4 linked regions of the Astyanax mexicanus genome follow. The protein of the gene in region 4 interacts with the protein of the main gene of each other region in a pairwise test. Links are inferred from orthologs where the notes say so. Each region holds a gene or a part of one and is shown on either strand. Other genes may lie near its edges. The genes, in order: stx6, vamp4, plasma membrane ascorbate-dependent reductase CYBRD1 and stx4.

Region 1 (7,807 bases), on a different chromosome or scaffold from region 4:
TGGCCGTGCTCCAAGGGTTCAGGTTCTTTAGCATTTGGTCACAGCAGATCTGCCCTGACCCTGAATCACTGTCTTCTGTTTCTGCTTCAGGCTCAGAGCTCTCCTTGGTTAAAAGTCCTGAAAAACTAGAGCCAAAGATTGTGATGAGATTAGAGACATTGCCCGTGTCCATCTCCTCCGCTTCCTCCTCAGAGGAGTTTGAGGAAGTCACCTTTGTCCGTTTTACAGGAGAGTCATTGCTGGCTGTCTTCTCAGCAGTGCGCTTCCTGTTTGAACAAGAGTGAGCTTTCGGTGGTTGCTGTGAATTCCCTTCTGTGACCGTGGCGGGGTTAGCATCCGCCTCACAGTCCGAAGAACTCACTTCAGCTCCTTTAGCTTCACATTGAGATTCACAGGTCACAGGAGAAGATGTGAGAGAAACATCAGTAGTAGAATCCTCTGAGGAAGACTCCTCTTCGGCCTGATGTTTGGAGTAGACGCTGTGGAGATCTGTGGAGTCTTCCACAGCCTGGCTGGTGTGCTGAACCTCAGGATCCTCTGGAACCACAGGATTCTGGTTGCAGTCAGTTGATGGGGACAGAGATTCCTCAGGGGCTGGAGTGAGTGGCTTCTCCTGGTTGGAATCCATCAGCTCCCACTCCTTGGCCTCAACATGCTGGGTGTTGAGGCAAACCCCACTGTAGTAATCACTCAGATACACTTGGCGTGCACTTCTGAGCACCAGAGACACCAGGAGGTTTTTGTGGAGCTTGATGCCTCCTCGTTGAACCCGGGAGTTGTAAATTTTCCCCAGGGAGATACTCATTATCCGATGGGCCTCCACTTTATACTCCATGGTCAGGCTCGATTCAGGAACACTCGAAGCAAAATAAATACAAGCAGTTTCAAAGTTCAGCTCCAGTCAGAGAAGGCTTGTCAGCAGGCTTGTTCTCCTTCAAGTGTGAGTCTCATTGAAACATTGTCCATCCAAAAACGTCAAAAGAAATGGTCCAACAAGCTTTAGAAACACTCACTTGGTCTTCAAGTAGTTTTTAAATGAAAATAAAACCTATTTTAAAATAAAAGAAGCCTTACAATTCCTCTAATTTAGGAAAAAATATGGTTCTCTACTCGTTTTATCAACTTGATACGATAAATAAAACCAACCGCCACATTTCTGTGGTTAAAGAACGTAATACTGATAATTCTATGTTATTGGGTTATACTATAAGCCTGCATTACCTTCCGTACGGTCTCTCTCACCCAACAACAGCCTAGAGAGGAATGAGACCGTTTCTATATTTAGACCGCTTTTATACCCGGACGTAACGGCTACGCTGACCAATCACATCGCGCGCTGAACGCCACCGACGCTGTCAACCACGCCCCGCGAAACCACTGCGGACCAATCGGAACGCGGGATGCAGATTAGTCATATTTAAATACTAACGTGGGAGAAAAATTTAAAGAGACCGAAATGTTTTTAGGCTGAGCAACCGAATTATTACTAAAAACATCAATGAAAAATTAAATAACTAAAAAAATTACGTGTAAAATTAACAGCAGTATTTTTGGGCTCTTAGACTGTAATTATCTTCTGATGGTGGCTATAAACACTGAGGATCTGTATTATCATTTATAAAACGACTGATACGAGTCTAAAATCATGCTTACAAACATAAATATAGCTAAAACGGTGAAATGGTGGTTTTCTTTTTAAAATACAACTCACTTTGTAAAATCTCACAGACTGTGCTATTTTAAGGCGTGCAATGTCTTGTTTTTGACCGCTGTTAAATAAAAATGGCCGTGTCCCCTTTAACTCTCCTTGCTTTCAGCCAACATCCTGGACTGATGTAATGGTTTGTGTCTCCTACAGGCGGGTCACGTGGTCCTATTGTGCAAATCCTCTGCGGTGTCTGAGCAAATGTGAATGGGAGCCGTTAGTGAGGGGGAGGGGAGGCGGTGTTTTGTTTCAGGACCCAGCTAAAGCCCAATGTGACACCAGACTGAAATAGCTGAACGCCTCGCGAAGGCTTAATACATTTAAATACGCAGCGGTCCTCTGGTAAACAATTCCAGGTTATCTTTCCCACTGTGTGCTCGATATAGGTCACAACCCGCAAAACACCGCGCGGGGAAAAGCAGGGAGTGACGTAACACGTTTTGTGTTTACAGTGTGTGTGGAGGAGAGTGTGAGAACCCTGCTAAAAAACACAGCCCAGCTGATTTCAGATAGTCTGGACTGGTATGTACTGGTCAAGGCGAATAAAATAAGCTGGTGATTCAGGTGAAAACATACCCTGGTTAATCAGCTCAGCTCTGGCCAATTATAAGTGTATTTTTCATAATGTTAATGGACTGGTTTTTCAGCCTGACCAATTCAACAAAGCTGGTTTAATTTGGTAAAGCAGATTTACTAGTTTAGGCTGTTTGGTAAAGTCGGTTGATCAGTTTTGGCATTTTGTTAAGACCAATTGATCAGTTTTTGCAATTCGGTAAAACTGATTATCCAGTGTTGGCAGTTTGTTGAAGCCCATTGATCAATTTAAGCAGTTTGGTAAAACTGATTGATGAGTTTGAGCAGTTTGTCAAAGCCATTTGATGAGTTTTGATAGTTTGGTAAATATGTGTGATGAGTTTAGTAATCTGTTTAATGAGTTTGGGCAGTTTGGTAAAGCTGATTGATCAGTGTTGGCAGTTTGGTAAAGTAGTTGATCAGTTTTGGCAGTTTGCTAAAGCCGATTGATAAATTTAGGGAATTTGGTAAAGCCAATTGACTAAAAAAATACCCTGTTATTCACCCAGTTTGTCCAGGTTGGGTCATCACTGCTACACTACAGCTACATTTCTGTGAGGTTAAGATAATTATTATTGTACTGACCACAACTGTATATCACTGGCATTATATTGAAAATGAACTGAAGTGATGTGTTGTTAAGTCATGTGTATCATTAGCTACACTTAATATACGTGTTGAACATCTATTCACAGACGCTTAGACCAAAATGGTTAGTTTTTTTTGTAAGTGTATTTTGATCTGACCTTTTAATTAACTGCACGTAGACAGGAGACACGGTGGTGTATGTTACCGGGATACTGTGGTGTAGGTATCCCAGCTAATGAATGAGCCTCATGAATATTTAAAGCATTTTAAGTGCTGCAGTCAGCAGTGCATTCGGACAGAGGTGGTAACAGTGACCATCAGGACCGGTGTGACTGTGAATGGGCCTGTTATGGGTCTACATTCATGTCCTGACTTGTTTTAAACACAGGAATGATTAGGCAAAAAGTACTGACATATAGATATATACATATATGTTTTCCTTTATATGTCATTGGTTGTTCAGATCAGCAATTTCAGTTAAATATATCATAGAGCAGATGAACACAGTGATATTTAAGAAGCAAAATTAAGTTTATAGGATTTACAGAAAGTGTGCATTAATTCTTTAAAACAATATTAGGTAGGTGCATAAATTTTGCACCCCCAACAGAAAAGTACATCAATATTTAATAGATCCTTCTTTTGCAGAAATGAACACTCTGAACACTTTCAATAGCTTCCAATAAAAGAGTCTGGCTCCTGGCTGAAGGTGTTTTGAACCATTCTTCTTTACAAAACATCTCCAGTTCAGTCAGGTTTGATGGTTTCCGAGCATGGACAGCCCACTTTATATCACACCACAGATTTTCCATAATATTCTTGTCTGAGATGATCATTCCAGAATGTTGTACGTGTTCCTCTGCATGAATACCTTAGTAAATATTGAGAAGAGTTTAGGGACGTGTTCTCATTGAAGTATCCAGCCCTGGGAATTTTTTACTGTAGACAGCAAGTGTTTGATTGGGAATGCTTTGTTCTTTTTCCGCCATGCATACTGCCCTCCAAATAATTCAATTTTAGTTTCATCAGTCTACAGCACCTTATTCCAAAAGGAAACTGGTTTGTCCAAATGTGCTTTAACATACCTCAAGCTACTCTGTTTGTGGCCTGTGTGCAGAAAAGGCTTTATCTTGCATTACTCTACTATACAGCCTCTCCTTGGGCAAAGTGCACTGAATTATTTATTCTGATCAATAAAATGACATGGGTGCCAAATTTTATGCACTTACCTAATTTTGGTTAAATAATTATTGCACACTTTCTGTAAATATTATAAACTTCATTTTACTTCTCAAATATCACTGTGTTTGTCTGCTTTATGATATTTAACTGAACTGCTGATCCGAACAACCAGTGATTTATTAAGGAATATCATGAAAATTATCTGGGGTGCCCAAACTTTTTCATACCACTACAGATAGACAGACAGACAGACATGCAAACATTCTATAAATAAATACATATTATTTGCACTTTACTTTATTAAAACATAATTAATTTTCAATGGTTTTTTCAGATTTCACAGCTCTGCTGACCTCTGCCCCGGATTGAGTAGAGGGAGTGATGGCGGAGGGCGCAGCTCAGTCCCGCACATAAACAAACCTTAAACCCTCAGCGCTCTCACAGCGGCCACAGACACGGGCACAGCCGCCGGGGTCTGGAGCATGACTTTATACCAGAGGAGCCATTTACTGTGAGCAGCACCATGTCGATGGAAGACCCGTTTTTCGTTGTGAAAGGGTGAGTAGAGTTAGCTTTTCTCAGAGAGCGGAGCTAGCTAACGCTAACGCTAATGTTAACACGACCCAGCCTTAACAACAATGGACCATGCTGAAGTTCTGTTTTACAGTCTTCTCAGATTTATTACAGATTTAATATAGTTACCGGAGTGTGTCTTTGAAGGAAAATGTTTGTACCGTACTAAATTATTTTTCTTTACACACGTTAGTTAGCTTAGCTAGTCCGCTAACTAACTAGCTTAACTGCTTTGTTATGATGCTTTAAACTAGGTTGCTATTAGGCTAACGCTAGTTAGTCTAGCTGCTATCTGCCTGCATTCATTACTAACTAGCGTTAGCTTTTTGGATTGGTTTAAATTTTGTATAGTAATAGGATAATAGCTAATTCATTTTTTATTAAGAACTCTATACAAACAGGCTTTAGGTAACATACATTAACGTTACATGTCCAAGTGTTTGCAGGTACTTTAAATGTACACTATTAACGTGTATAAGATTTTTACAGTATCTTACAGCGTTAAAACATAGTTAACGCTAGTTAGCTAACATAATATCCAAAGCTGTATTAAACTGTCGCAGAAATATGGTGTTTTGCCAGTGACAGACATTGTTTTTAACCGGCTAATGCTAATACACAAACACTACAGAACCCCAATTCATATTAAATTCCCCAATACTTTATTATACTTATTTCACATTTATCAACAAATAAGTTTTTAGTCCAGAGTTTGCTCTATAACGCACAACACAGACAAAGGGTTATAAAGCACCTAGGAAAAGGTTGGTTAAAGGAAGAGGTGTAACAATATTCATGTTTTTTAACTAATAGCTTAGTTAAATCAGTACTGAATGTCTTATTGTTTACACTGTTATTAAAAATAAGGGATCTTGGCTAAACCGCAAGGCTGAATTATTTACATAAGCAAAAAGTTCTGACTGAATTGGTTTCTGCTGATGCTCAGTAGAAGACTGGTAGAAGATTGGGTAGAAATGTTTTGCCACTATAATAGGATTCTGGAGGTGATAAACATGATAATATTAGGCACCATGTATGGTCTAGAGGGGTATAAAGACTTCAGCATTGTGCAGTGGAACTGTGTTCTCTGGATTGATAGTGTTTTATGTAATTCTTTGGTGGAAGAGTCAGGGCCACCAGCTAATGCTCTTGTTGCTGAATGCAAACTAATGTTTACAGTACTGCTATAAAATCTAGTAGAAATAGTCACTCCAACAATTACAGAATTATTTTTCGTATTTTTTGTAAGACCCCATGTTTTAGATTACCCCGATAGTATCTATACTTTGTATCAGCATTATGTCCACATTTATGCATAAATAGCCCTGTCACAAAAAAACTTAGCAATATTGTCCCACAATTGATTGCGATAATACTTTTGTGATCAAGACATTTTATGCCCATTATTTAATGTTGTGAAATGTACTTGGGTTGTAGTGAAACATAATGACAAGTACAAACTTTTGGCAAATAGGCCACCTTTGTTTACCCGGAGTTCCAAAATACACTGCTTTTTGCCAGTTCTCCAAACAGGCTTACAATGTTAGAGATGGGAGCATAGTGTTGCTCATGCAAAGAAATTAGCTACTTTTACACCATTATCGAGCTCAAAGTAGCTCCACACTTCATTGGTAGAATTCTGAGAACCCTAACATTTAAAACGAGCCACTGAAAACTTTAAAAGTGCAGATAGTTTATTTAAAAAACCTTTAGGTAGTACTCTCGGCACCGCCATCTTGAAATTAAGCCATTAAAAAGTCGACTGATGGGCACTTTCAAAGTGTCAGGGTCCTCGGAATTCTACCAATAATTTTTTTTTACCCTTGTTAATAGTGTAAAAACAGTGATTCCTAGGGGCAATTTCAAACATCTCCAGTTTACCTGAACGGTGGTCTTTGGACTGTAGGAAGTAACCAGGACTCTCTTCACAGAAAGATCCTGGTTGCTCCAGCTGGGATTTAAATCCAGGTCGTCTTAATGTAGGTGACCGCGCTACCCACCACGTCAACATTCTGCCCAAACAAAAGAAATAAAACTAATAGTAATGCTCTTCTTGCTGAGGAATCCACAGTGGTCAATACTGAGTTACTATTGTATGACAAGCAAATAATGTAATTATTGTGACAGGCCTATGCATAAATTGCTATTCAGAATACATCTAGGATAAAGTTATTTTCCTAAGTTGGCCAGCTAGATATGTGCTTTAACAAGCCAAGCATTCACAGCCACCTCAGTAACTCTCACTATTCTGAATATTCCTCATGTTGACCTGGAATAATATGTCCCTTTGCTTAGAGAGGTCCAGAAGGCTGTGAACACTGCACAAGGTCTACACCAGAGATGGAGTGAGCTTCTTCAGGATCCTGGTGGTGCCTCCAAGGAGGAGGTAGACTGGACCACCAATGAGTTGAGGAACAGCCTGAGGTCTATAGAATGGGACCTGGAAGACTTGGATGAGACTATTAATATCCTTATCATGCTTCTCAGATCAAAACAATGTTTTTATTTGTTGTTATTCATGCTCCTAATACTACTTTAAACAAAGCCTTAACAGTAATTTCAAGTATTGTAGAAGCAAATCCAAGAAAGTTCAATCTTGATGCGGTAGAGTTGAGTAAAAGGAAAGCTTTCATCACCAGCACAAGACAGACTGTCAGGGTGAGTTTACTTTGGGTTCTTTAAAAAGTTTTTCATGGTGATTATTACCTGTATGCATATCTCTGATTTAGTTAAAATTGTCATATTATCAACTACATTGATCATTTGTCAATATGAATAATATAATGTTATTAACAATGTTAATCATGTTTTTCTTTTTTTGTAGGAGATGAAAGACCACATGGCTAGCCCAATGGCTGTCACCATAACAGACAAGAAAAGCAGACAGGTATGTATGTCAAGTTATACAAGTCTATCAACTTAGTTATTTTCCCATAGGATTGTGGGCTATTGTAGTTTGATTATCTTGTTATTATTAGTTAAGAGATCAAAAATGAGGGATATTATAACACTGTACTTTACTGCATCCACCCATGACAATGTTGTGATTCAAGCCAATTTCTCTGAATATTCCAGTGGACTAGAATCATATTAATAATTTAAGAATCAGATAAATAAAAAAAACATAGCATAACTTCAAAAGTTGTATTAAACTGTTGCAAAAATGTTGTTTTACCAGTGGCAGAA
Region 2 (8,834 bases), on a different chromosome or scaffold from region 4:
GTGTATTTTTTAATAAAGGGTTCACTTTATCTTCCAATGAGTTATTCATCCTTGTACATCATATCAACTTATGAATGTTCACAAAGAAGTTTGAGAATTCAGCTAATTTCATCCGAAAGCATTAGCAATAGAATGGGAGTGGAACAGTCACACATGAACTTAAGGTCCCTATATCCAATTAAAATGAGAAATTATTAATCTCCCCAGAACTCAAAGCATCTTGTAAATATGCTTACTCATAAAACTACTCATTTGGCTGCAGAAGGCAATGGCAAAAAAAATTGTTCATAAACATTTGGACAAGTTTAGGTTGTTTTTCTACGGTATAAATAATTCAGTTAGAACTTTTATGTGTATTTGTGCATTAATCTAATAGAAAAGGTGTGCATGCGTGCGTGTTGTTTGTGATAAATGATCCTGTGTTTTCCTTTGCTGATGCTCTGGGGGCTTTAACAGGCTGTACAGGCACATCTGGGGCTCATCAGTCACAGGTTTGGGCAGTTTTCCTGCAGCACTGCATCCCCCGCTTCTGTCGTTTATAACCCTGAAATGCACTCCCCACCTCTCACCACCAGCTACCCCACACTCCCCTATAACACCAACTATCCTAACCCTCCTCTGCCTCCAAAGAAAACACCCAGCCATAGAGAAGTCTACAAATTCCTAACCTCAGACCTTCACCATCCTTCAGCTCAAAGTGCTCAAAGCCTTGGGAGGTCTGCTTATACCATCAGAAAGGAAGGACAATTCAACACCATTCAACTTATGCAATACATTCCATATTTTTTATTTTATTAAGTTTCTAAAATTTTGATAAACAATATTTAGAAATTACAGAGATTTTTACAGTGATTAATTAGTGAGTAATTAGACCATTAACAGGTGAACAGGAGACTATGATTTCTGAATGTATAGAGAGGCAGTGGAATCTTTAAGACCAAATAGAAAAATATAAACTGTACCAGTCAAAAGTTTCAACACCCCTTCTCATTCAATGTTTTATTATTTCCCTGCATTGTAAACAAATACTGAAGTCATCCAAAGTATGAAGGAACACATAAGGAATCATCCAGTAAACGTAAACGAGTTCAAATAGTAAATGAATAATGACCCAAAACATATTGCAAAAGCAGCTGCAACAGATCTAAAGCAAAGAAACACAATGGCTGATCCAGTCACTTGACTGAGCATGCTGGTCAAGACACACAAACAAGCAAATGCTAAAAGAGACTGTAGTGAACGCTGAACAAAACATCTCAAGAAAAGATTCTCAGCATTTGCTGATATCATGGGATCCTGACTTTGTGTAGGATTACTGCACATTTTCTGCATCCATGTATAAAAAATCCTGCATATAACATTATTTTAAGCAATAAATAGTTAAGCATAAATATTTAATTCTAACATTGTAAAGTATGTTCGAGTTTGAGTATGTTTAATTCATTTTTGAATCTTAATTAATGCTAAAATTCTAACTTTCAATCACACCATGACAGCTTAACAGTTAAATTTGTAAACCCATAAAGGTGGTTTTCAGAGTCAACAGTGCAAAAGAAACATGTAGCTGTCCAACTATTATTGGATCAGAGTGTGTATCTGTTCGTCCAATGCACCAATGCTTTGAAGAGGCTTTATTATATATGTTGTAAATGACTGGGTTCTAAATGAATTACTGTTCTCTCAAAACGTATTACAAATACACCTGAAATCTGTGAGAAATTAAGGTCTTGTACAATTATTAAGTAAGCAATAGAGTAATAGATTAAGAAGGAGTAACCTGAGGAAATATTCAAGACTCTACACGTTCTACACGTGTTATTTTTACTCATACCTAAAAACTCATTGTCATGACATGATTTGCCAAATACTTCTCTGAAGGGGTTCAGAATCTTCAGAATACCTCATCAGTCAATACGAGGCACAACATAGCTGTGCAATTCATTCTAATGCATAGTTAGAGTCAATGTAGAGAATTTTAGAGGAAGACAGAAAGGTCTTTCCATTATTTGCATCTCTCTCAGTGTAGTCTCCCAGGATTGAGCAGGTGACACAACTGACAAGACTGGAACTCACTTCATCCTGTATACGCTGAAGGTCACCGTAATTTATACTCTTCTAGCTTTGTCCATCCATCTTCCCTTCTCAACAAGACTTTGAAGTTAACAACCAAAATGGACCAAGGCAGCTATGCAAAGAACATATTTTTGACAGCTTTAGCACTGCTGTACACATGCATATGGGAACATCTACACACCTGTATATGTGTGTATATGCAGTATCCTTACATACAGCATAAACATTTACTACAAACCACAACAGAGGATAAAAACTATTAAAAAATGATTACTAATCTTCATGTGATAAAACTGAACTTTTCCAGAGCTTCGTCAAGTGCTTTCTCGAGGACACACAATCTCATCTTTTCACTCAGCCAAGCACTTCCCACTCCCAGGAGGAGCTTTCTGCTTTAGCAATCATCCTCATCAGTGTGTGGAAAATATTCCAGACTCGCTCGCTAAACTATTTCTCCGAAGAGCCGCTGCATTATGTTTCTCTTGTTTATTTGTTTCTGATTTCACGTGGTTTCATGTGTGTAAATCTTTTTAAAGGCTTTTTTTCTGTTTGCTTTGAGAATTTTTATCTCTGCGATGCTCTTCTATGGTCCCAGCCAAGTTCTGCTCGTATATCACAAATATGTAGTTCAAGGTAACAAGGTGAAGAACTTTTGCCCCCGTGACATCCACTGAGAAAATGAAGCAATTGATTTACCAGATTTAATTTTACAAAATGTTGCAACTTATTAATTGGAATCTTAACAGTGGTATTTGTTACTATTCAACATAGATAATAGATAATAAAAATGTTTGTGGAAATAAATTTATTTATTTATTTTTTGTTTCTAAATGTTCCAATTTTTCTATCAAATTTGGAATGCCAATTACCTTATCCCTGGTAATATGAACTCTACCTATCACCAGTAATGCCCTCAACACTAAGAGAGGCACATGCCTCCTCTGATTCATGAAGTTACTCACCGCCTCGTTTCAAAATGGTGCTGATACAGCATCACTAGATAGCCAGATAAGACCAGCGTTCTTATCTGTTCCCGAGTTCTGATACATCAGCTAACACACACCTGTGCTGACCAACATTACACTATGAGATCTGAGGAGGAAACACCATAAACCCTGGAAGAGTAAGACACTTTGTGTCCTAATGTCATAAGATATGATCTGAGATTTGAACAGACAATCCTCTAATCATAGTGACAGCGCCCTAGTCCAGCACCTCGGAATTGCTTTTTAATAGTATTCATGAAATGATTTAATAAGATTTTTTTTTTCACTAAGAACAGATATGATACACATATAATGGTACAAACAACAATTTGTCTTTTTTTTCTTTGTATTTAAAGTATTTCATCCTTATGAGCTTGTTTGACATCCATTTCAATAATTATGGGCGATCGATATGAAGGTAGAAAATTGGAAACAAACAAAAACAAATGTGTGAAACATTACCTTTCACTGCAATTAAGAGGGAAAACAGCAGCCCCAAGACCATTAATAGTATCCCTGGTACACTAAACTCTGGTTGGCTCTAGGCAGTCTGGTAAGTATTGTTCTCCTGGCATCTGCCAAACTCCTAAGTTCTCCTGGCATCCCAGAATCCCTGATACTGACTCCTGATTCATTTGTGAAATTGTGAAAGTGAGTGCAGGGTTCAGTGAGCGAGAGACATTCTTTTCACACATGGATCGGGCTGCTTGAACTCCATTGAAATAACTTTTGTAACGATTCAGAAGCTTTTGGAAACGATGCCACAGTGAATGCATGCCATAGTCAAAGCTAAAAGTGGTATTTATAGTGTGTGACCTTTATTTGACCAGGTAGTGTATAAAGCAACTGTCAAATATACTGCCCATATACAGTTTTTTAATTGTGATTTTTATAACAGTGTCTGGAACCCATGAAAACATTAAGGTGTCCGTACAAAAATATGAAGGAATTGCATCATGTAACCATAAGCTGTTTCTAAATTGTATTTGTTATATAGTACACTAATTTGGGATTCTGCCATTTTGTACTGGTGTTTGAAAACAAAGTTTTTAACTGTACCAATCTTACAATGCACTGTGATATATAGTGTACAGAACCAGACATGGAATACCCGTAATTATGAATTAATAATAAATAATCAAATCTTGGGTTAAAGAGTGCATTGCAGACTTTCCAAGAAACACTAGATTGTTCAGATTGTTGCATAACACTGCCCTTATCACACACATAATAACAATATTTTATACACCACTACAAAATAGTGTAACCCAAAAGTAGTGCCCTACAAATATGTAGGCCGCACATTGGGACGATTGAAAATTGGAAATTGACATGTTTAGCCCTTTAAAGCAGCTGATTATACAGTACTAATTAGTAGAATGCTAACCTGTAATGGTTAAATACAGTTATGTAAACTGTCTATTTTACAAACAATTAAGTCTGTGTGTTCTAGTTAGAGCACAAGTACCAAACCATCCCTTGTAATTAACGGTGTCACCGGTATTCACATGCATTACTCTGGTAGAAGTATAGATACTAGGGTTTAAAAATAATTCTGTAGAAGTTAAAGTATCAACTCAAGCTTTTTACTCTTGTAAAAGTTTAAAAGTACTGGTTTCAAAACTATTTAAAAATAATTTACGGGGGAAAATGCCATTAAGGACAAAAGCTGAGGATGTGCCACAGGAGCCTATAGTATAGTACCCCCAAATTTTTTAAAGCCATAATGGCTGTAATGTTACATTAAAATGTTAACGTTGAAACTTTGGGGATGCACTAGGCTGCCTGTTTCAGCCACATAAAGGCCCATTTCAATGAATGAATTTGGTACAATATAAATATATTAAAGAATCATACTAGGCTACACAAGTCTGCTAGATTCTTGCTGGAGTCTGGGCGTGATGTGTGCAGGTGAGGTGGATTGTGAATAGACCAATAGGATGTCGAAATGGTATGTGTTTATACTTCTTAACCAACCACAATCATAATCACTCATAATCACATTTATCTGGAGATTTATCTGGTTCGTTTTTTACAGAATGAAAACAAACTAAAACAAGGTTTTTTTAAAAATGTAAAAAAGTAGAAATTACAGATAATTGTTAAAAAAGTAAGGATTAGAAGTGAAAAGTTGTACTTCATTACTTGACACCTCTGCTTGTAATTTGAGTATACATATTTATGTGTGCTAATATCTAACCCTTATTTCCAGTATGAAAGAGGAAATTGTTTTTTTTTTCAATCAATGAAAACAAAACATAATACACATCAAATAAAATTTCATATAAAAATGATAAACATATTCTCTTGAGTGTACACAATGCATACATATTGTTGGGGGGTATACATAAATATAATGATTTAACAGTTGTAATAGTTGTACTGTTTTACAGAGGGCTGTTACAGAGGGGAGTTTAATATAATATTTTAACTCTTTTTAAAAGACCACAAAAATCCTGATGTATAACTACAGCATTGTGAACCAAATCACAGCCCAGCTGTTTGACTTCCTGGTCATCAGAGGTGGAGCGGAAGAGAAGAGAACATCACTGCAATATACACATACACATCCTCACAGCCCTGCTGCCGAGAGGCTCTTCTCTTCTCTTCCACTGACACACACACAGACCACTTCCAGGATCCTTAGATCCTCAGTGGTGTGAGTCGTGGCTGCAGTACAGAAGAGCACTGCACCCCACAGGACCAGCACAGCCCAGGTAGAAGAGGATCTGTGTCTGTTGAGGTGTGTGGAGGCCTGTGTGTCTCTGTGTAGAAGACAGCAGTGCCTGTGTCACTGTCTCATCACTGCATGATGTTCTCCTGATATTTTAGTGTAGCTAAGCTAGCTAGCTACTTGTCTCGGTTACGCTATTAACTAACAACCCGCTAGCTAAATAACTGTCTATCTAACGTAACTTATCCAGTTTAGCTAACTGGTTTAGCTAGTCTAAACCAGACAGTCTGACCGGCTCAGCTAGCCACACAGCTAACCAGCTAGCAGAATCATTTAGCTAGCGTTAGCTAGGCTAAGCTAAACTAAGCTAGTTAGCTAGGAGGCTTCGGAAGCTAATATTAACAACAGTAGCAGCTTCGTGCTGCTAGATAATATTTATTTCTGATAATTTAGATGGAAATGTCCTGTGTAAATATGACGTGGTGCTGTCATGTCTTAGTTTTTTTTTTTTACATTTGTCTTGTAAAAGTCGGCGTTTCTGCTTAGGTTTAGCTCATTAGCTAGATTAGCTAACGTTAGTTAACTGGCACCTAACAGTTACATTGTGTGATAATAGCTTAGCTATCGTAGCTCAGTGTTTCTCAACCCTGGTTCATAAGGCCTAGTCTAGTAAGTTCCTTTCTTTAATCCACATTCTTTAACTCAATAATGAAATGTTAAGAAGCTAATGATCTGTATCAGGTGTTTTGGTAGCAGGGAAAACAGTAACTGTTAGCTAAACAGTGCAGGACAGTGAACCTCCAGGACCAGGCTCGAGAAGAAATACTGAGAGAGCTTAACTACCTAACCCTAGCTAACCTAATGTTAATGTAACGTTAACTGAAATCTCTGTGTTTTATTCTCTGACAGATGTATTTATGCAGAAAGCTGCGTTTAAAACAGGTTATTTAGCTGACCGGTTGAATCATCATCATCATCTTAGTTGTCGTTTCCCTATTCAGTCATATGACTCAGTGGCTGATTAGATTAGCAGTTCTAGAAATGTAAAGGGGGTCATGGCACACATTCTCAGCTCTCAGCTCCATTCTCTCTTGTGGGGATGCTTCTGGTTCTGACTAGTTCATGCAGATGTGTTTATCAGGCAGATATTTACTTGCTTCACTTGCTTGATGCTATCCCCTGTCTGATAAAAACAGACAAACAAAAATAAACCCTCTTTGGAGTTTAGTACTGATTTGGTTTTGTGATTGATGAGATGACTGTGGCCCAAAAAGGGGTGGGCAATAAGGCCCTAAAATAATATCACAATATTTCATGGTATTTTTGCGATAATACTTTTGTTGATATGACAAGATTGACAAAAAATATTTCAAGGATTAAAGTAAAATAAATGATACTGGACAGATATAATCTGTCGGGAGATATAATAGTAAATGAGAAGAGTGTGAATTTTTCTTTTGCTAAAAACAGCAAAGAAAGTAGTCCCCTGATGTGATAAATAGGGGTGGGTGATGGCTCGATATTTCAGGGTATAGTATCGTTCACAATATTTAAAAATGTTGGCGATATTATTGCATACGATATGATGTGGCACACAACTACTGCCCAAGCCAAGTCTTTGTGTTACTGGTTATGTGGATATGTCTAAAGGAGTAACAATTTATAGGCATATAGAATTCACTGCTATTCTATATTATGTATCATAAAAATATTCACCTTACATTGTACCTAAGCAGTCTAGTACTGTATTGTGTGCCATTTTCGTAAAGAAAAGAGACAAAAAAGAATGTTATGATTTATATTACAAGTTAAATGTTATAATTGATGTTTCATGTCATTTATAATTGCACATTTACAGCCTAAACCGTTTACAGATGATGCAACTATGGCCTGGATATATGTACACTATATGTCCAAATGTTTGTGGACACACACACACACACACACACACACACACACACACACACACACACACACACACACACACACACACACACACACACAAGTTGTCTCTGTCATGCAAAATGTATTGCCAATAAAATAAAAATCTCTACAGCAGACAAACATGAATGGCATAATGGCACCATATCTAATACCATGAGTGGGCTAGAAGGAAACATAGCCTCCAGAATAAAGCAGTGGTTCTTTTTTTTGTTTTTTGAAAAACCCTGAGGGAGGCACAAAATTAATGAACAGGTGTCCCATTACTTTTGTCCATATAGTGTCAATTGATGAACCCCTACTGGTGTCACCATTTCAGTGTTATTTGCAAATGCAGTGCTTTCAGTGTTGGGTGAACTGATTACTGTGTGCAGTGCGGGGGTCAGCAGAGTTTATCTGATTGCCCTTTAGAAGGTTCTGCATCGTCTGTTTGTCTGTCCCACTTACATTTTATGTCCAATCCACATGACCAATTCATGTTTTGTACATCAGTTTACTATTTTATGCCAATAATGTTTTTTTCTCCGTTCATTCTATTGGAAAATTATAATGGCACCCTTGTTTGACAGATCTGGCAACTGAAATGAATTTTACATACGTTTATGGTCATTGTGGATTCTTGCCTGCTGCTTTCTTTTTATCTGTCTCTCTCATATTTCCCGTTATCTTTATCCCAACCGTCTTTCCCCCTTTTTCTGTTTCCTTTTTCCTCTCTCTCTTTTTTTTTTTTTGCTAGAGCTGCTTATCCCTAACCCCTCTTCTCCTCCTCTGCTGATTTGTGGATCGTTCCGCCGTGCTTGTGGCCAGGAGAAAACCTGTTTTCCGACTACTTTTCCAGCACATCAAGCAGAAAGCAGTCTCAGAGAGAGGACAGTGACTCAATGGTATCAGACCCCTATCCTAAATTTGGATTGTGTCTGTGGTTGTGTGGGAAAGAGAGAGAGAGAGTGAGAAAAGTGAAAGAACTTCTCTATGGCTTAAACTGCATAAAAAATGTGAAGAATTAAAAATTAACTAAATAAATATACCTCCCAACCAGTAAATATGTCCATCATTGTTTCAAGTATTTTTTTCAGAAATAATTATGATTAAGCTGTTTCATAGAGCCAGGCTAAATATGAGAAATTATATTTAAAAAAACATTGCATCAATGAGTAGGT
Region 3 (8,107 bases), on a different chromosome or scaffold from region 4:
TCCGAATGCACTGTGATGCTACTCTGCAATGCTGCATGAGTAGCAGTTCAAAAAGAGGTAGTGGCTGACTTTACATGTGTCGGAGGAGGCTTGTGCTTGTCTTCACCTTCTTGGTGTGGGCTTTACTAGTGATGGGGGGAGTCGTAATGAGTGGGTTGGGTAATTGGCCATGTAAATTGTGGAGAAAATAGGAAAAAAATTAAATACAATTATTTAAAAAAATACAAATTTGAAAGGTGGTGCAAATCAAAATCTGGTATGATTAAAATAAGAGGTCTTGGTCTGGTTTGTCTGCAGTATGAAAGCCATTTTTGTAGATGTTTGGACATTCAAACCAGTTACAGTAAGCTGAAGCAAGCTATCATCAGAATTTAAACAATATCATATAGCAGTTTGAGGGTAAACACGTACATTTGTCATTTATATGTCTACTATAACTCTATATTAACCCTTATTTCATAAATAAAGTCAGGATTCAGCTCAACACCTGGAAAAGCAATTTGCCAAACTGGCAACACACTGGTTTTGCATGCACTTTCACAAACCAATTTATGTTGCCTATATAGGTGATGATGTGGGAAAGTTCTTTACTCACTAAAACTGCAGTATGGAAGAGAAACTAACAAGATCAACTGTATAAAATGTAACAAACATTTTTACAGGTGTAAAAAACCCTCAAATTCCTGAAAAGAACTGTGTGAAAGTTAGTGTTAACCATGTAAAAAAGTCCATAGTGCTTCTTGCAGATTCAAATAAACAGTTAATCTGTCTAATACATAAAAATATTTATTTTAAGATTATATAAAACATATCCATTGAAGCTTTGTACTATTGCAGCAGTGCAACCAGAAGGAATAAATAATAGAGAGCTCTCCAAGCATGTCACTACCAGTGGCAGGCAGGTGTGTTTGACAGTAATTGTGGAGAATTGTCTACAGGTACCACAGGCTCTGCAGAAGGCCCCAACTGTGAGTGCTGACAGAGATGGATAGAGCAGTCAGATCAAATGTGTTGATTAAAATAAAAATGAAAGCACTGAAGTATCTTATGATTTGTTGGAAAATTAAAAACATGGTTTTATTTCCCAACATCTGTTATTTATTAAAATGTGATAAACATATGTTCCACTCGGTCGGCTTCCTTTGAAACAGGCAAAGAATGGCGTGCAGGACATGAAATGTGACTCGCTGGAGGCAGATTGGATCTTTTTTCACCCTGATGATTCAGGAAGGATCATCCATGCTGGGCCTAGCACCATAAAGTGAGGCTCCTAAAAATATATTCCATATTGAATTACACACATATGCACATATACATATATTAACATGAAAGATTTGTAGTAGGGCAATAAATTAGATTATTATAGTGCAATTATATTTCTAAGTGATCGTTTTCTTTCAGTGTTCTATTATTAATATTTTGTTATGGTTTTCTCTAAAGTGTTCTCAAGATAATAGAAGGAAAAGAGGTTGACACGAACTATGAAGTGATCCATGATTTCTCCATCATTACTTCTCGAGACAGAAGTGTAAGTCATTCTTTACTGTCTGCTTAATTTCCGTAACAACACTTACCATTTTCACACCCACACTGACCATGAACAATGGACACCAACCGGACTTTACGGTACTTAATGATCTACTCTGTGCATGACAATTTATAAAATGTTAATTCTTTCTGCATATTTCATGCAGGCCACCTCAAAAGTGACAGTGACCTCCTCTGGTCGTACTGTTAAGAGAAGATTTCAGCAACTGGATGATGATCCTGAACAAGAGGTAATTGGGGGCCCCCCTTTTTTTATACATATAAACATGCAAAAAAAAAAAAGATATTTTTGCACACTAGTTAACAATAGTTTATTATTTAAAAAAAATCTTCAGATTTTTAAAGATTGTTTTTAATATTGCCTTTTTTCATATTTTTATTTATTTAGGCAATATAGCCTCATTTTGTCACCAAGGCCACTAGTACTGTGTCCTCTGACATTATGTGTATTATGTACTTATTTTCTCTGATATCTTTAGACATTTAAGATGGCTAAGTATGAAGATGAGCTTGATTTGTTGGCCATTGTGGATGTAAGTCCTACTGCAGAGGATGTGGGACAGGCTAGTGTTCGACTTTATGACAACAAAAGTGGAGGATTGATGAAGAGAATTACCCTTAATGAGCCATGGGATGTAGTGAGTAGATCATATTTTTTTTTTGTTTTTTAAGGTTTATTTATTTTATCTAAAAATAATTAAATTTATTTGTTTTTCTCCAGAGCAATTTTTCCCAAAAAAAGTTTCTTTCTTTCTTTCAGACCTACAGTCATGAAGTCTACCTTGACAGAGACACAGTTATTCACATTGAGCAAGAGAGGAATAACAGCTTCTGTTGCCATGTTTATAAGATGAACCGAAAGTCTAGTTGACCAGGCCACATGCCACTTTTTTAGATGTTACCTAGATCTTAGAAATTATTTTTGTATTTATTTTTATTTTCATTTTGCAGAATTTTAAAGACCACATGCCTTAATGTTTTATTAAAACTGAATTAAACGTTGAATTTCTGATAGTTTGTGTGAGTGGACAAATTATTCTCTTGGTCATACATTTCTGTCATGCTGGTTGCTGCTGGAGTAGTAACTGGTGGCCTCTTGTAACATGATAGCTTTAGCCTGGTTTGGGTCACTTTAACCCATCTCAAATATAAATGCAAGCACTTTAATATCGAAATGACTTAACATTTTGCTATTAAATGCATTGCCAATATTTACTTTCTTTTTTTTTTTTACATTGTCTTTGGTCATGGAGCATGTCATGATGCAAAAAGGACATACTGGCTGAAGCACTGCAGTCAAAAATGCAAGTGTTTAAAGGATAATTCTAAAGGTGTAGTAAAATATGATAACGAGTATGAACATTTGTCAAATAGCCCGTCTCCGTTTGATCCCAGCATTCTAAAATACAGTGCCTAAAGCCGATGCTCCCAATAGGCTCACAATTCAAGCGACAAGTTCATAGAGTCCATGCAAAGAAATCACTATTTTACAGTACAACTACTTCAGTACTGTAAGTACTAAAATGCTAAAATCTGTATCTACTGAAGTATTATTTTCTCCCAATTTCTTTTTAGCTGCATTTTTCAATGAGTTTAATACTTTTACTACGATATACATTGTTGTGCTCATTCCAAACCCAGATGCTCTGCACTGTGGGAATGGAAAATGAAAATAAAATAAAGGTTAATAAAATCTCATTTCAGCTACCCATCAAAGAGGAATTAAGGAACTGAAGACATACAATCTATACCGGGTATAGCTATATCTATACCGGGTGCTTAAAGGTTTGTACCAGTTCTTAGGGGGAGGATTTCACCCCTTACCCTTGTACTTAAAAAAAGAGGTAGGGGTCATACCTGTCAAGTCTCCCGTTTGGCCGGGAAACTACCGTATCTTACCTCTCTTTCCTGCTGTCCTCCCTTAATAGTATTGTCCCGTATTCTATTTTTATTTTTTATTTTTTTTAAATCATGCGCCTCGCCAAACTAAAATGTCACTAACCTTAAGGCCCTGTCCGACTGCGATTGCGTCTAAATATCCACTAAAGTACGTCCAAATTTATCAGAAAACACTGCGTCCACTGAGTGAACGCGCTGCGTCCAAAATATAGACGCAGTGCGTCCAAATTACGTCCATATTCCGTCTAAATTGAAGTTGGACGCCGACTTCCAAATTTGTACTTCGACGTCCACTTTTTGGACGTCGACTTCCAACTATATATGGTTGTTTTTTCTAGTGAATCATCATTTCTTCTTGAGCTACAAGAGAGAGCACATCTATTCTCTTCTACACAACCATGGACCACAGATTCCTTGCAGTGATTGTGCAGCAGCAGAACATACTCCTCCATGTGCTGGACCAGACCAGGAGGAGGAGGAGGCGGCAGCAGGAGAGGACTGTATGGGTCAGGCCTTGGATTGTACGCCGGGTGGAGTTTGGACTGTATGACCGGCTGATGGTAAAGCGATGGACGCCAGAAAAATATTTTTATGGACGTCGACGTCCACCTGTACGTGCCGTCCAAATATCCACTAAAATACATCCGTACTGCGTCTAAATATCCACTAAATTACGTCCATATTAGTCGCCGTCTATTCCAAAAATTTTGGGAGGTACCAAAACCACTTTTGCGTCTAAAGTGGACGGCAACGTCTAAACTACGTCCACTTGGACGGTGCCGTCCAAATATCCACTAAACTACGTCCAGATTGCGTCTAAATATCCACTAAACTGCGTCCACTGAAATTTGGACATACTTTAGTGGATATTTAGATGCAATCGCAGTGGGACAGGGCCTTTACAAGAACTGCCACCCAGGAGAGAGAAGGAATTCCTGCCAGAAAGTTTGTAAGTGGTTCACAGGTGGTTATTTTTTATTTCTTGCATCGTAAAATGTAAGGAATACTAAACCTGGAGGGCAGCTCAAAGCGGGCAGCAGAAAATTTCCCTTATTTTTAAATCCAAATCTTAACAGGTATGGTAGGGGTGCACAAGAAAAATGGGACTGGGCCTTGGTCTCTCTACTTTATACATGTCTGAACCGCACCCACTTTCCCGCCAAAAATACTCCCATCTCAAAAGCAGCTGTAGTTGTCGCTTTAGCAGGGAGGTTTGCTGGGCATAATATTGTTGCAGTTCCCCTTTAAATGTAGGACAGATGTCCGTGACGTCAGGTTTAGTATAGTGGACTGAATCTCAACACAAGGGTGTTTAGTATTGAGAGTTTTTTTAGTCTAGTATTTGTAGTGTGGTGTTATGTGATGATGAATCTCACCATTATGTCTTATTGCGTAATGATGGTAGATGTGGCAAGTTACAAAACGGAGACTGTGGAGTAAAAAAACAGAAGAAGTTTGTGTTGGAGGAGCTGCTTGAGACGGAGCCAGCCCCCTGAGTGACCTCTCGAAATTCCTGCAGAGAGAGTCTAGAGCTGTCTCTCAGTACTGAGGAAATGGAAGCAATGGAGAACTACAGGCTTTTCCTCTCTCTGCTGCTCCTCGCCCTCTCGCTGGGCTTCGTCTCGGTCGTGTTCGTCCTCAGATGGGTTTTACACTTCCGAGAGGGGCTCGGCTGGGACGGAGGAGCGGCGGAGTTTAACTGGCATCCGCTCCTGATTATCATCGGCTTCATTTTCCTTCAGGGAATCGGTAAGAAACTCGAGTTAAACTTAGTTTAACTGTTGAAATAGTGCTTTGTGTTCCGTATTTTATTATTGCAGTTATGTGTAGAAGTGTAGCTAAGAACTCTAGCGCTTGTTGTTGAGTTTCTCACTGTGTTGAATTACATTCCTAGTTTTTAAATCCAGTTGAGAAACAGCAGCTTTACCCAATTCAGGTCACATGATCTCTCATGGAAATCCTGAAGTAAAGGCGTCTGTTTGCCAAGATTAAACAGAATAGCTGCACAGAGCTGTTTAGATAATTAATTAAAGGAATCAGGAGTAAATGTCTCTAATAAAGTAAAAATAAATAATACCTCTATTCTTTATTTGCTTTGTTAAATAAGAACTCCGGTGTAAAATTAACTTTGGTGTAAGCTAAGAAAATATGATGAAAAATACTTAACTTTGTTGAATAGCCCACCTCTGCTTTATATAAGATTATCCAGGTTCAAACTAGCTCCACACCTCCTTGGTAGAATCCGGAGAGCTCTGACATTTAAAATGAAGCATTAATAACCTCAAAAGTGCACAAGAAGCTTATTAAAAGACACTGTTTACATCCTGTGCCTCTGTCATTGTACTGATAATAACATAAATAAGGCTTCATTGACTCTGCAGTAGACATATATACATAGAGTCTGCATAGCCTGCCATCAGGCTATGCAGACTCTATGTATATATGTGTCTGTCATTATCAGTATGATGATTATCAGTATGATGATGGCAGTGCACAGAGCTAAAAGCTAGCAGCATGGGATGCAAACAGTGTTTATTAATAAGTTTCTTTTTTTTACCATTGTTTACCATTTACATTTAATTTGATATAAAAGTTTCAGTATAGAATACATGTGATTTCTATTTATTTATTTACTTAGAAAAAATTGACCGTTGTTTTGGTTTGTATAACTCTGTTTAATCATGATTCTGACTGGTATATGCATGAAGTCACATACTGAAATGGTTTAATTTTACTGCAAGATGTTTTTTAGATGTCTGTCAAAGATTGTAAAAGGCACAGCCAAAATGTCAGTGTTTTTGCCAGTAAAGCTTCAGTCACTGAGCAATGAAGAACTTCCTTCCTGTTTCAAGCGTATTTCAGAGAACCAGACAGCCTGGGTTAGAAAGCTGAAAGCTAAATAATATGATAATCAGCAATACTGCCTTTTAGAATATTAAATGTATAGTTTAGTTATTTTCTTCAGTAGTCTTAGTTTAACAGTCCATAATCCACTGTCACATGTATAAGCAGCAGGGAATAATTTACCCATATTTATTGTCCAGTATTTTTTATGCTAAAGGTTTGCTTTCATTTACACGCCACTTAACCAAAATTCTCTCAGTTTAGAAAAAGTTCATTTTGTTTGTTTGGTGCAGACACTTTGATGTGGTTTGGAACACAGTATGACTTATAAACACAAAAATAAACCTCTCTACATGGATGGCTGAAATGTGGGACAGTTATTTTCAGTAGCCTTTCCATTTTTATCTTAAATGTCTGAATAAGGTCTACCCATGCCAATTTGCTAAATATTTGTGTATACAGAGATTAGCTTGGAGTCTGCCTATGTGCAATGTCTGTTAACAATGTAAGCCTAGCAACCTCCTATTGCAGTGATTTGCAGTTCTGGTCATGCTCTGATGTTCCCCGAATTTCAACACATCTTATTCAAATAATACACTAAGTAATGAGACTTCACTTGATACCACAAGGGTGTTTTACAGCAGGGAAAAACTACAACAAGCAGGGTAGTGGTGAAGAAATACGAAATTAAGTATTAAGAAATAATACACTAAACGAGTCACTGAAGAAACACTGAAGAGATTATTATTTTTCACAATTAATCACGGATCCTCACAGAAGAGTGATGGGGCTGCAGTTTTTAGAAGCGTTACAACGTATTTCTAGCTGAATATATGCTTTTTTGGAATGTTAGCAGACTGTTTAGAAAATATACTTGGGTTGGTCTATGGGAGGCGCCAGTAACCAAAGTAAGATGGATAAACACTTCAGAAATGAGTGTAATTTTAAAAGATAAAATGTCGGTATGTAAAATCGTGATTACTCCATGATTCGAATTACAGTTACATCTGAATTAATCGTAAAAATCACCCAGCACTAAAAGAAAGTATTATTTGATGAGTCCGACTAAATCAGAACACAAATCAAAGTGATTATGCTCTTTTTTTTCCAGCAATTGTTGTGTACAGGCTCCCATGGACGTGGAAGTGCAGTAAGCTGATGATGAAGTTCATTCATGCAGGCCTAAATGTGCTGGCCTTCATCCTGGCTGCTATTTCTCTGGTAGCGGTGTTTGACTTTCATAATACTCAGAACATTCCCAACATGTATAGTCTGCACAGCTGGGTGGGGCTAACTGCTGTCATATTGTACTCATTACAAGTAAGTATTTACAGAATTTACACACATTAATAAGTTCCAAATATAAATCAAACACTTATATATATTTGTTTTTTGTTTTTGTTTTTTGCTGCAATTGAACAGATCGTACTGGGCATTGCCATCTACCTCCTTCCTGTAAGCCCAGTACCTTTACGAGCTGCATTTATGCCTCTACATGTGTACAGCGGCCTATTCATCTTTACTAGTGTGATTGCTGCTGCTCTAATGGGCATTACTGAGAAGCTCATATTTGGCCTGTAAGTATGCTTACACACTGTGCTGATGAGTATTCCAGTATTACTGGTGCTTTGTGTCCTGCCACTGTGGCCACACTCAATAACACCATTCTGGTCAACCCGAAATTATGTCATCAGTAATGTTTAGGCACTTTATATGATCCATGTCATTAAAAACGTGTTATTAGTTATTATATGACTTATGGTTCTGATACAGATAGAACCATTATAGGAAAGACCTTGAGATGAACTCTTACTTG
Region 4 (7,947 bases):
ATTTTATTTGTCACTGTCATTATTCCCCATCAAACAGGAGAAAAACATTCTGGGCTTTAAAGGCCCCAGGAAAATGACAGTGATCATTCCTGGCATGCATGAGAATGACGAAAGAGTCAGTATTCGTCCAAAAAGCGTAAGTAATGTTTTCTGTAAATCTGCCCTGTATAATTCCATTTCACTTTCATTCTTCCTCACTCTCAGTCTCCCTTACTGTTTCTTTGTGGGCACCTGATCTCACTTCTTCAGCCTCTCTTTAATTCTTCACTCTCGCAGGATATCGAATCTCTCCTCACTCGTTATGAAAATGGAAATAAGGAGAATCTGGTGTGTCTGGTGAATAAGTCACCCAGCTGGAACGAGCAGACTCAATCGTATGTGCTCAATTTCCATGGCCGAGTGACACAGGCATCTGTGAAGAACTTCCAGATTGTTCATCCTGATAACGGTTAGTAGGGGAAACACACACATTCTGCATGTTCTAATACTGTTTAAACAAACCTTTATAGACGTTGCATCAGTTTACATGTGGGGGAACCCAGAGGCAACCTTAAGGAACGTTCCATTACTATTTTAGATTAAGTGAAGTGTGACATGAGCCCTCAAGGTGTGAGATTGAGTTTTGCAGCACAAATTACTGACTTAATGTATTAATGGTTTCAAACCTAGAAGAATATTTTTTTTGTTTTTTCAAACTTATGACATATAAGTTGTGTTTTTACTGAGCATCTATTAACAAGTTTTACCTTTACCTACCTTATTCTGCTTAGCAAGCTAAAGGCTACAAAACCACAGTTGAAAAAAGAGGCTATATCCAGAAATTCCCAGGAATTGTTGTAATCTGGCAGAGACTTTCCTGGGAAACCCTTGCAGTGTGTGGGTGAGCATTATCCTGCTGAAAAATACCTGTTGGAAACCCTCCACAACACATGTGGCTGCAGGATGTTCTGCACATATTGATAAGCTGATAGTTCTCTTTATATCACTACTGGGGTGTCTGACTGTTCAATGGCTCATCAGATAATCACACTAACACTTGGGGCAGTGTGTTGCTCCACAGCAAGGACAGGATATAAATGCTCACCATGAGGCACTTTGAAAAGACACTGAAACCTGGCCATGATAATGTTTTTTTCATGAATGTAAAAAGAGTTATCAGATGTTTGTAAAATAAGCCTGTAATATTTGTTTCTCTCTTCTGTGTTGTCCAGAGGAGTACATTGTAATGCAGTTTGGAAGAGTGGCAGAGGATGTTTTCTCCATGGACTACAGCTTCCCCATGTGTGCTCTGCAAGCATTTGCCATCACTCTGTCCTCATTTGATGGAAAACTGGCTTGTGAATGAACTCACGGCTTTCGTTGTATGAATGTGCTATTTAGGCTACTAGAAGGCACCACATCTGGGGACTTATGGCCTTTGGAGAACTTCAGTAGCAGAAGTTCTCATGTATTCTTGGACAAAATATATATTTATTGTCAGCAAGTTTTGGAGGCAGCAAAAATAATGTGCAATAAGCATAAGCTACAATAGTTATGGGTTATACTCACATTTGTATTTTCTTATTTTTTTATGTTATGACATGTCATTCCATAAAAATAATTACTTTACCGGTGTTTGAAAAATAATAATAAAAAAAATCATGTATTAAAGAGAATACGTCTCGTATGATTTTTGTAAGATTAAATAAACCGTGTACCGTATTTTTCGGACTATAAGGCGCACTTAAAAACTTTTAATTTTCACAAAAATTGACAGTGCGTCTTATAATACGGTGCGCCTTTTGTATGGATTTTACTCGTCAGGTTGTAAGGAGCAGTAAACACACACTCCGTGCAGCGTTATAGAGAGTTTCAGTGCTATACAGAGTCCAGAGCCGTGCAGCTCCGAGGCTGAGCAGCAATAGCATTAGCTAGATGCTAACCGCTAAGCTAGCTAGCTTATTCAGTGAGATCAGTATTATCTAAATTTTACTCGTCAGGTTGTAAGGAGCAGTAAACACACACTCCGTGCAGCGTTATACAGAGTTTCAGTGCTATACAGAGTCCAGAGCCGTGCAGCTCCGAGGCTGGAGCAGCAAATAGCATTAGCTAGCTTATTCACTGTTCAGAGATCAGTATTATCTAAATTTTACCCGTCAGGTGTAAGGAGCAGTAAACACACACTCCGTGCAGAGCAGCAATAGCATTAGCTAGATGCTAACCGCTTAGCTAGCTAGCTTTTTCACTGTTCAGAGATCAGTATTTTCTAAATTTAGCACTTTTAATACTGCTGGAGCAGTATTATTAGAGTTAGATGCTAATCGCTAAGCGTTCACCGTTCAGAGGTGAGTTATCGGCCTGTAAGTCTGTGCTGCTTTGCCTGGCTAGCATTAGCTAGATGCTAAGCGCTAACTCTCTCAGAGGTGAGTTTTATCAGCCTGTAATCTGCTTGTTTACAGTGTTAAAACAAGCTACGGGGGACGAATCGCTAGCTAATATCTCACTGTCTTACCAGAACATGCAGGATTACTCAGTGTAACGCTGTCGTTTAAGTTTGGGTTAACTTTACTAGTTTAGGTGACTAGCTAGCGTGCTAGCGGATAGCTATGCTAACGCTGGTGCAGCAAGCCTTAGTGGACATCTGGAAATCTAAGCTTACTGTAAATAAACTGAAGCACGTTACTCACCCAAAAAAACAGTTTTCAGGAGAGGAATCTGTGTAGATTAATATCCAGCACTCGTTTGACTTTGAAAGAGCTAGATTTATATATACTGAGACGCTCCACCGGCAAGCGACCACCCCCGGTGGGGGAAGGGAAACATGGCGCCACCCCTGTTCACTTTGATATAGGCACCCTTTCTAGTGTCACTTAACGCGCCTTATAATGCGATGCGCCCTATGTATGGAAAAATAGCAGAAAATAGGCGTTCTTTGATAGTGCGTCTTATAATACGGTGCGCCTTATAGTCCGAAAAATACGGTATATCATTGCTGTTCAAGGAAAAACGTGCATCTTCAAAACAGCAATGTTACAGAAGAGAGATAAAACATTCTTAACTTCAATGAAAGTAAAGTAAAGTAATTTAACAGCTGTTTGATTATATACTAGCTCTAAAAACAGAATTTTGACACTGCCAGAACAAGACCTTCTACATTTTTCTTGTTTTTTGTTAACTAGTTAACACGTTTTAATATGTTTATTTAAACTGTCATTTACACTATACATTTTATGATAAGTTAATACAAAGTTTTTTTTGTAATACAAAGTATTTGCAGAAATAAAACAGTGTGAAGTTTGTGATGTCACAGATGTCAAATGTTACTTTTTTAGGGAGCTGGTTATCCCAATATGACAGGGTGGACAGGCAATTTTTGGCCATGTTTAAATAGCTTGATATATTTTTATTATTAATTACTACATTTTTCATAAATATGTTATTTAACCCCTAAATTAATGATTCCTGGCAGCACTCTGGATATGGCAAAACAACTCGCATAGAAAAACTACAGAGCCCCTAAGGTGACATCATGTATAAAAAAAAAGATGACCACGACTATGGCCGTGACTTGAAAAATTGTGGCCACGCATTAGGATCTTGTTTCCAAGTTTTAATAACTTTTGTCCATGCAGACTTAATTATTTTATTCCCACTCCTTTATAAGTCATGGCCACGCATTGTACAAAATGTACAAAGAGTGCTTTAAAGTTAAATCTTGGGAAAGTATTAATACACAGTGTCTATATGACATTTAAAGAACTATGCTGCGGACACAAAAGGAAGGTTATATTATAAAGCTCTGGAAAAAAATAAAAGACTAAAATAAAAAATGATGGGTTTCTTTGATTTTACCAAATTAAAAAAAACTCTGTAATATAATCAAGAGGAAGATGGATACTCACAAGCCATCAAAGTAAGTTGAACTGCTTGAATTTTAGCATCAGGAGTGGCATAACGTTATCCAAAAGCAGTGTGTAAGACTGGAGGTGGAGAACATGCCAAGATGCCTGAAAACTGTAATTAAAAACCATTTTTGATGATTTTTTTTTCTTTTAAAACTTTAAGAATAGTTACTTGTTTTCTCTGCATCATTTAAGGTTTGAAAGCTCTGCATCTTTTTTTGTTATTTCAGACATTTCTCATTTTCTGCAAATAAATGCTCCTAATGACAATATTCTTATTCGGAATTTGGGAGATAAATCAGAGAAACTGATTCAGAAACTGAAGTGTTACAGTATTATTGTATGCTGACCTTTATGAGGGTTTAGGGCGTGAGGGCAGGGCTCTCAGTAGGTGGAGATGGTGTGCCTTTAATGGTGGCTGTGTCACACACTGAGGAAGAGCCGTTTCTTTTTGACTTTGAATGGAAACTCCCTTCTTCTGTTGTTGATGTCAACAAAGTTAGTGCGTTAGATGAAGAGCCCGAGTCTGTAGAGAGGGTTTAAACAAGGAGCAACGATGCGAGACCGAACCAAAGAACTGGGAAACGTGAGTTAACTAACTGATTAGCTTAAACTTTTCACTGCAGCCCTGCTGAAACTACTGGAGCCCGTCAGAGAGCTAAACTCAGGGAGCCTAGCGCTAGTGGACTTAGCAGGTTAGCTGGAGGCTAGCTAGCTCTGCTGTCATGTAGCATTAGCTGGCTAAACAACATTGCAGCTAATGTGACATTATAACATATTTATGTAACTATGGGGTATTATCCTCGTTAAAAATCTTAAACGACAACTATATTAAAATATTTAGCTGTGCAGAAATGTATTAGAATGTAGCAAACTATCTAAGTAGTTAGCTAGCTAAAAAGCTATCTAGCAAGCTAGCTAAGCTAACAAGATAGTTACTCTGGCAGGCTAGTATGTGGGTTAGTTAGCTAACCTAAATGAGTGGAGTGTATTTTACGGTTCTCTGAAGATCACTAACCTGCTGTTACTCTGATTTTCTGTTCTTTTTGATTAGTTATTTTGCTCGTGTTCAAGCATATCCAGGTCTGTCACACACATATACATGATTTTTTAAGAGGAAAGGAAATCTAAGAGCTGCCACAGAATTTCCACATCCGTTTTAACCTAGAATGTTTTGGGACCAAGGATTTTATTTGCTTAACAGGAAAACCTCCACAGCCTGTGAGTAATTTGTATATAATTGTAGCTGTATAAACACTCTTGTGCAGTGTACATTTAACTATCTGGTTTTCTGAAGGGGAACAAAAATCTTTAGTATTCTACTAAAAAGCTAGCATGTATAGCCTAAACACATTTTAAATTGTAGTTAAATATGTTAAATAAAGCTAGTACACATCAGGTAAAATATGTTGAATTTTTAAGATTCTTTTTATTAATTATTATATTATTATTTAATTATTATTTATTTTTTTTGGAAAATAAAAATGTATTTGGATTCACAATAATTACACAACAATTACACACCTGCACACACACAACCACTACTCGCATATGTACACTATGCTGTTGTTGTTGTTCATGAGATGCAGCATTTTTTTCAACAACAGCTTCACCACTTTTTCCTTTGTGCAGGTTTTAGCACTTACAGACCTGCATGTGAGCAGATCTCAACCTCCACTGTTCCACTGAACTGCCAAAGCCTGCACTGTACAAACCACAAACTGAACTTTTCTAGTATATTTTTTCTGCTTGTGGGCATTTACTTTCATTTTTAAATCTTTGGACAGTGGTCTAGAAAAAAAAACATGTTTGCTAAATGTTAGTCTTAAGGTTAGTCTTAAGAGATAATTTCTAAAGCTTGGAAATATATTTTAAGTGACTGTTCTGAATGACAGTTGGTCAAAGGCCTAGGGACTGATTTGGTTATCCAGGTTTGAGATTTGTCAAAAAAAAAAGAAAACCTCCTGTGCAGTGGCAGTGGTAGGTTGCCAGATTCTTGCACAGTTTGCTAACCATCTGCTTTACAGATCTGCTAACCCTGGCACATAACATGTGTTGAATCAGGTGTGTTTGATCATGAAAATGCTCAATGCAATCTGGCACTCTGGAATTGCATACACGTGTGCAGCATTGTGCAGAGGCTATGTTGATGTTTTTGTATACAGCTGTATATATTTATTGTTGTATGGTGTTTTGGGGCGTGTTTATAGCGCGAGTGTGGGGCAGGTTTTTGCTGAATCAGTGTTGCTGTTAGCATTGTGTGTGATAAAGAAGGAGACGTAATATATAGTACAAAACCCTCCTAGGGGTACAGGGTGTTGTGGATGGACATTGATCATAGTGTTTCTTAACCATGTCAGAAGACATGTCTAAAAAATGCATAAAACTGTATTCTTACACTTGTTAACATTTTATTGTTGCCAAAATTGTTAGAGCATACAGAGATAATGCCCTTTGTAGCCTTCTTATTTACCTCATATCTGTTTATATATAGTACTATATTTTAAGTGTTTAGTTCATTTACTTGGTCATTTGTTGCTGTAAACATTAAAATAAGGGAACTAATCTGTAGCTCTTCTTTACCTCATACATTTCCATGTCCACATAGCCTGCAGAGGGTTCAGATGAAGATGAAGAAGGCACAGCCCTCATGATAAAACCAGGCACTGGAAACTCTGGAAAGGAAGATAAAGATAATGAGGCTTTCTTCAGAAAGGTAAAGCTTGTAAAACATTTTAGCACATGTATTTAACACAAATGGTAAGCAAAGAGCACATGTAACTCTTTCTCTGTCAGTTAAGATAAACCAAACAAACGCATTGTTACAACAGTCTCACATTTAATTAATTTCATCTTAATTATCAGTTAGAGTTTTAAGTGAAATGTGATTTTATTTATTATAATCTCAGTACTAATAAAATAGAGGTTTTAGTTCAGTTATGGTTAAAAGTTTACAAGTGTGCAATAAAACACAGGTGCAGGACCCAAACAAATACATCAGTGAAAAAGCCAAAAAAGTGTCCACAACAAGAGGACTTGTTTATTTATTTGTCTAGAAGTGAGAACATGACAATATGAATAAATAAGCGAATCTTCTTGTTCAACAGTATGAACTGCTTTGGCTTTTTAATTTTTAAATTTTTTTTTTTTTTTTTTTTTTTTTTTAATTTTACAACTTTCCATCCTAATATTGTTAATCTTGCTCTACAGGTCCAAGAGATCCGAGAAGGCCTTGAAACTCTTAAGAAGAAAGTGGCTGAACTGGAGAACAAACAGAAAACTGTTTTAGGGGTGGCACTGCCAGATGACAGTTAATATCTCTATAATTTCTTATTTAATATAATTTCAGCCTATTATTTGTGTATCTATTCCAGTAACACTTTACAATGAGGGTCACAAATAACTGTACTTATGACAGTAATAAACATTGTTAAATTGTTACTTAATGTCTCAACAAATTATTATTTAACACTAGTTAAGACATTATTACGTTAAGATATTACATAAACAGAATTAGAATGCTTAAGAATGTTTGAAAAATATATTTATATATATATATATATATATATATATATATATATATATATATATATATATATATACTGATTGATAAAAAAAAAATAAGGATTGTAATAATGAAAATAATAATTAGTTGAGACATTCTGACATACTGTTCATTACTGTTACCAATAATCCTAATCCTATGTATTTAATTTCAGATATGAAAAGGGAACTTCAAGTCCTAAGGGATGAGATCAAAGTACTGGCCGGACAGATCCACAAAAAACTGAAGAGTAAGACAGTGATAATTTATATAACACTTTTGAAATGCTCTGCTTGAATCATCTCTAGCTTGAAGTTTTTAAGAGAATTAAATTACCTGCTTACATTTTAGATCTTGAACCCAAGAAAACTGATGAAGATGGGAAATACATTCCTATAAACTTAAGAATGCAAAGAACACAGGTTAGTTACATGAGAAGCCAATCTTAATAAGCTCTACTAGCAACATTTAATCATGTACTACAAGTGTAAGTGGTTCTGTCTGCATGTTTTTTAAAATCTG

The links.
Region 1: the proteins of stx4 (region 4) and stx6 interact in binary tests that used the Homo sapiens proteins (3 or more experiments, as listed by UniProt). The two-hybrid records come from large-scale screens. The link is inferred for Astyanax mexicanus from reciprocal best matches to the Homo sapiens genes STX4 and STX6.
Region 2: the proteins of stx4 (region 4) and vamp4 interact in binary tests that used the Homo sapiens proteins (3 or more experiments, as listed by UniProt). The two-hybrid records come from large-scale screens. The link is inferred for Astyanax mexicanus from reciprocal best matches to the Homo sapiens genes STX4 and VAMP4.
Region 3: the proteins of stx4 (region 4) and plasma membrane ascorbate-dependent reductase CYBRD1 interact in binary tests that used the Homo sapiens proteins (3 or more experiments, as listed by UniProt). The two-hybrid records come from large-scale screens. The link is inferred for Astyanax mexicanus from reciprocal best matches to the Homo sapiens genes STX4 and CYBRD1.

Annotation. Positions count from the first base shown.
Region 1 is NC_064423.1:15,822,190-15,829,996, forward strand, and holds the start of stx6 (syntaxin-6), read left to right. Parts: upstream 1-4,393; 5' UTR 4,394-4,571; coding exon 4,572-4,606; intron 4,607-6,916; coding exon 6,917-7,085; intron 7,086-7,183; coding exon 7,184-7,279; intron 7,280-7,445; coding exon 7,446-7,508; intron 7,509-7,807. Other genes in the region: ier5 (immediate early response gene 5 protein), read right to left, coding at 1-835. UniProt on the Homo sapiens protein: SNARE promoting movement of transport vesicles to target membranes. Targets endosomes to the trans-Golgi network, and may therefore function in retrograde trafficking.
Region 2 is NC_064408.1:62,580,168-62,589,001, forward strand, and holds the start of vamp4 (vesicle-associated membrane protein 4), read left to right. Parts: upstream 1-5,581; 5' UTR 5,582-5,776; exon of another isoform or gene 5,777-5,802; intron 5,803-8,410; exon of another isoform or gene 8,411-8,481; 5' UTR 8,482-8,555; coding exon 8,556-8,558; intron 8,559-8,834. UniProt on the Homo sapiens protein: Involved in the pathway that functions to remove an inhibitor (probably synaptotagmin-4) of calcium-triggered exocytosis during the maturation of secretory granules.
Region 3 is NC_064418.1:30,821,028-30,829,134, forward strand, and holds the start of plasma membrane ascorbate-dependent reductase CYBRD1, read left to right. Parts: upstream 1-4,801; 5' UTR 4,802-5,000; coding exon 5,001-5,196; intron 5,197-7,402; coding exon 7,403-7,611; intron 7,612-7,713; coding exon 7,714-7,868; intron 7,869-8,107. Other genes in the region: dcaf17 (DDB1- and CUL4-associated factor 17), read left to right, coding at 1,152-1,261, 1,441-1,528, 1,695-1,778, 2,028-2,186, 2,309-2,419. UniProt on the Homo sapiens protein: Plasma membrane reductase that uses cytoplasmic ascorbate as an electron donor to reduce extracellular Fe(3+) into Fe(2+).
Region 4 is NC_064422.1:28,697,436-28,705,382, forward strand, and holds the start of stx4 (syntaxin-4), read left to right. Parts: upstream 1-4,253; 5' UTR 4,254-4,437; coding exon 4,438-4,467; intron 4,468-4,531; exon of another isoform or gene 4,532-5,102; intron 5,103-6,489; coding exon 6,490-6,597; intron 6,598-7,091; coding exon 7,092-7,191; intron 7,192-7,600; coding exon 7,601-7,675; intron 7,676-7,776; coding exon 7,777-7,847; intron 7,848-7,947. Other genes in the region: si:dkey-220f10.4 (tubby protein), read left to right, coding at 38-136, 277-448, 1,212-1,345. UniProt on the Homo sapiens protein: Plasma membrane t-SNARE that mediates docking of transport vesicles. Necessary for the translocation of SLC2A4 from intracellular vesicles to the plasma membrane.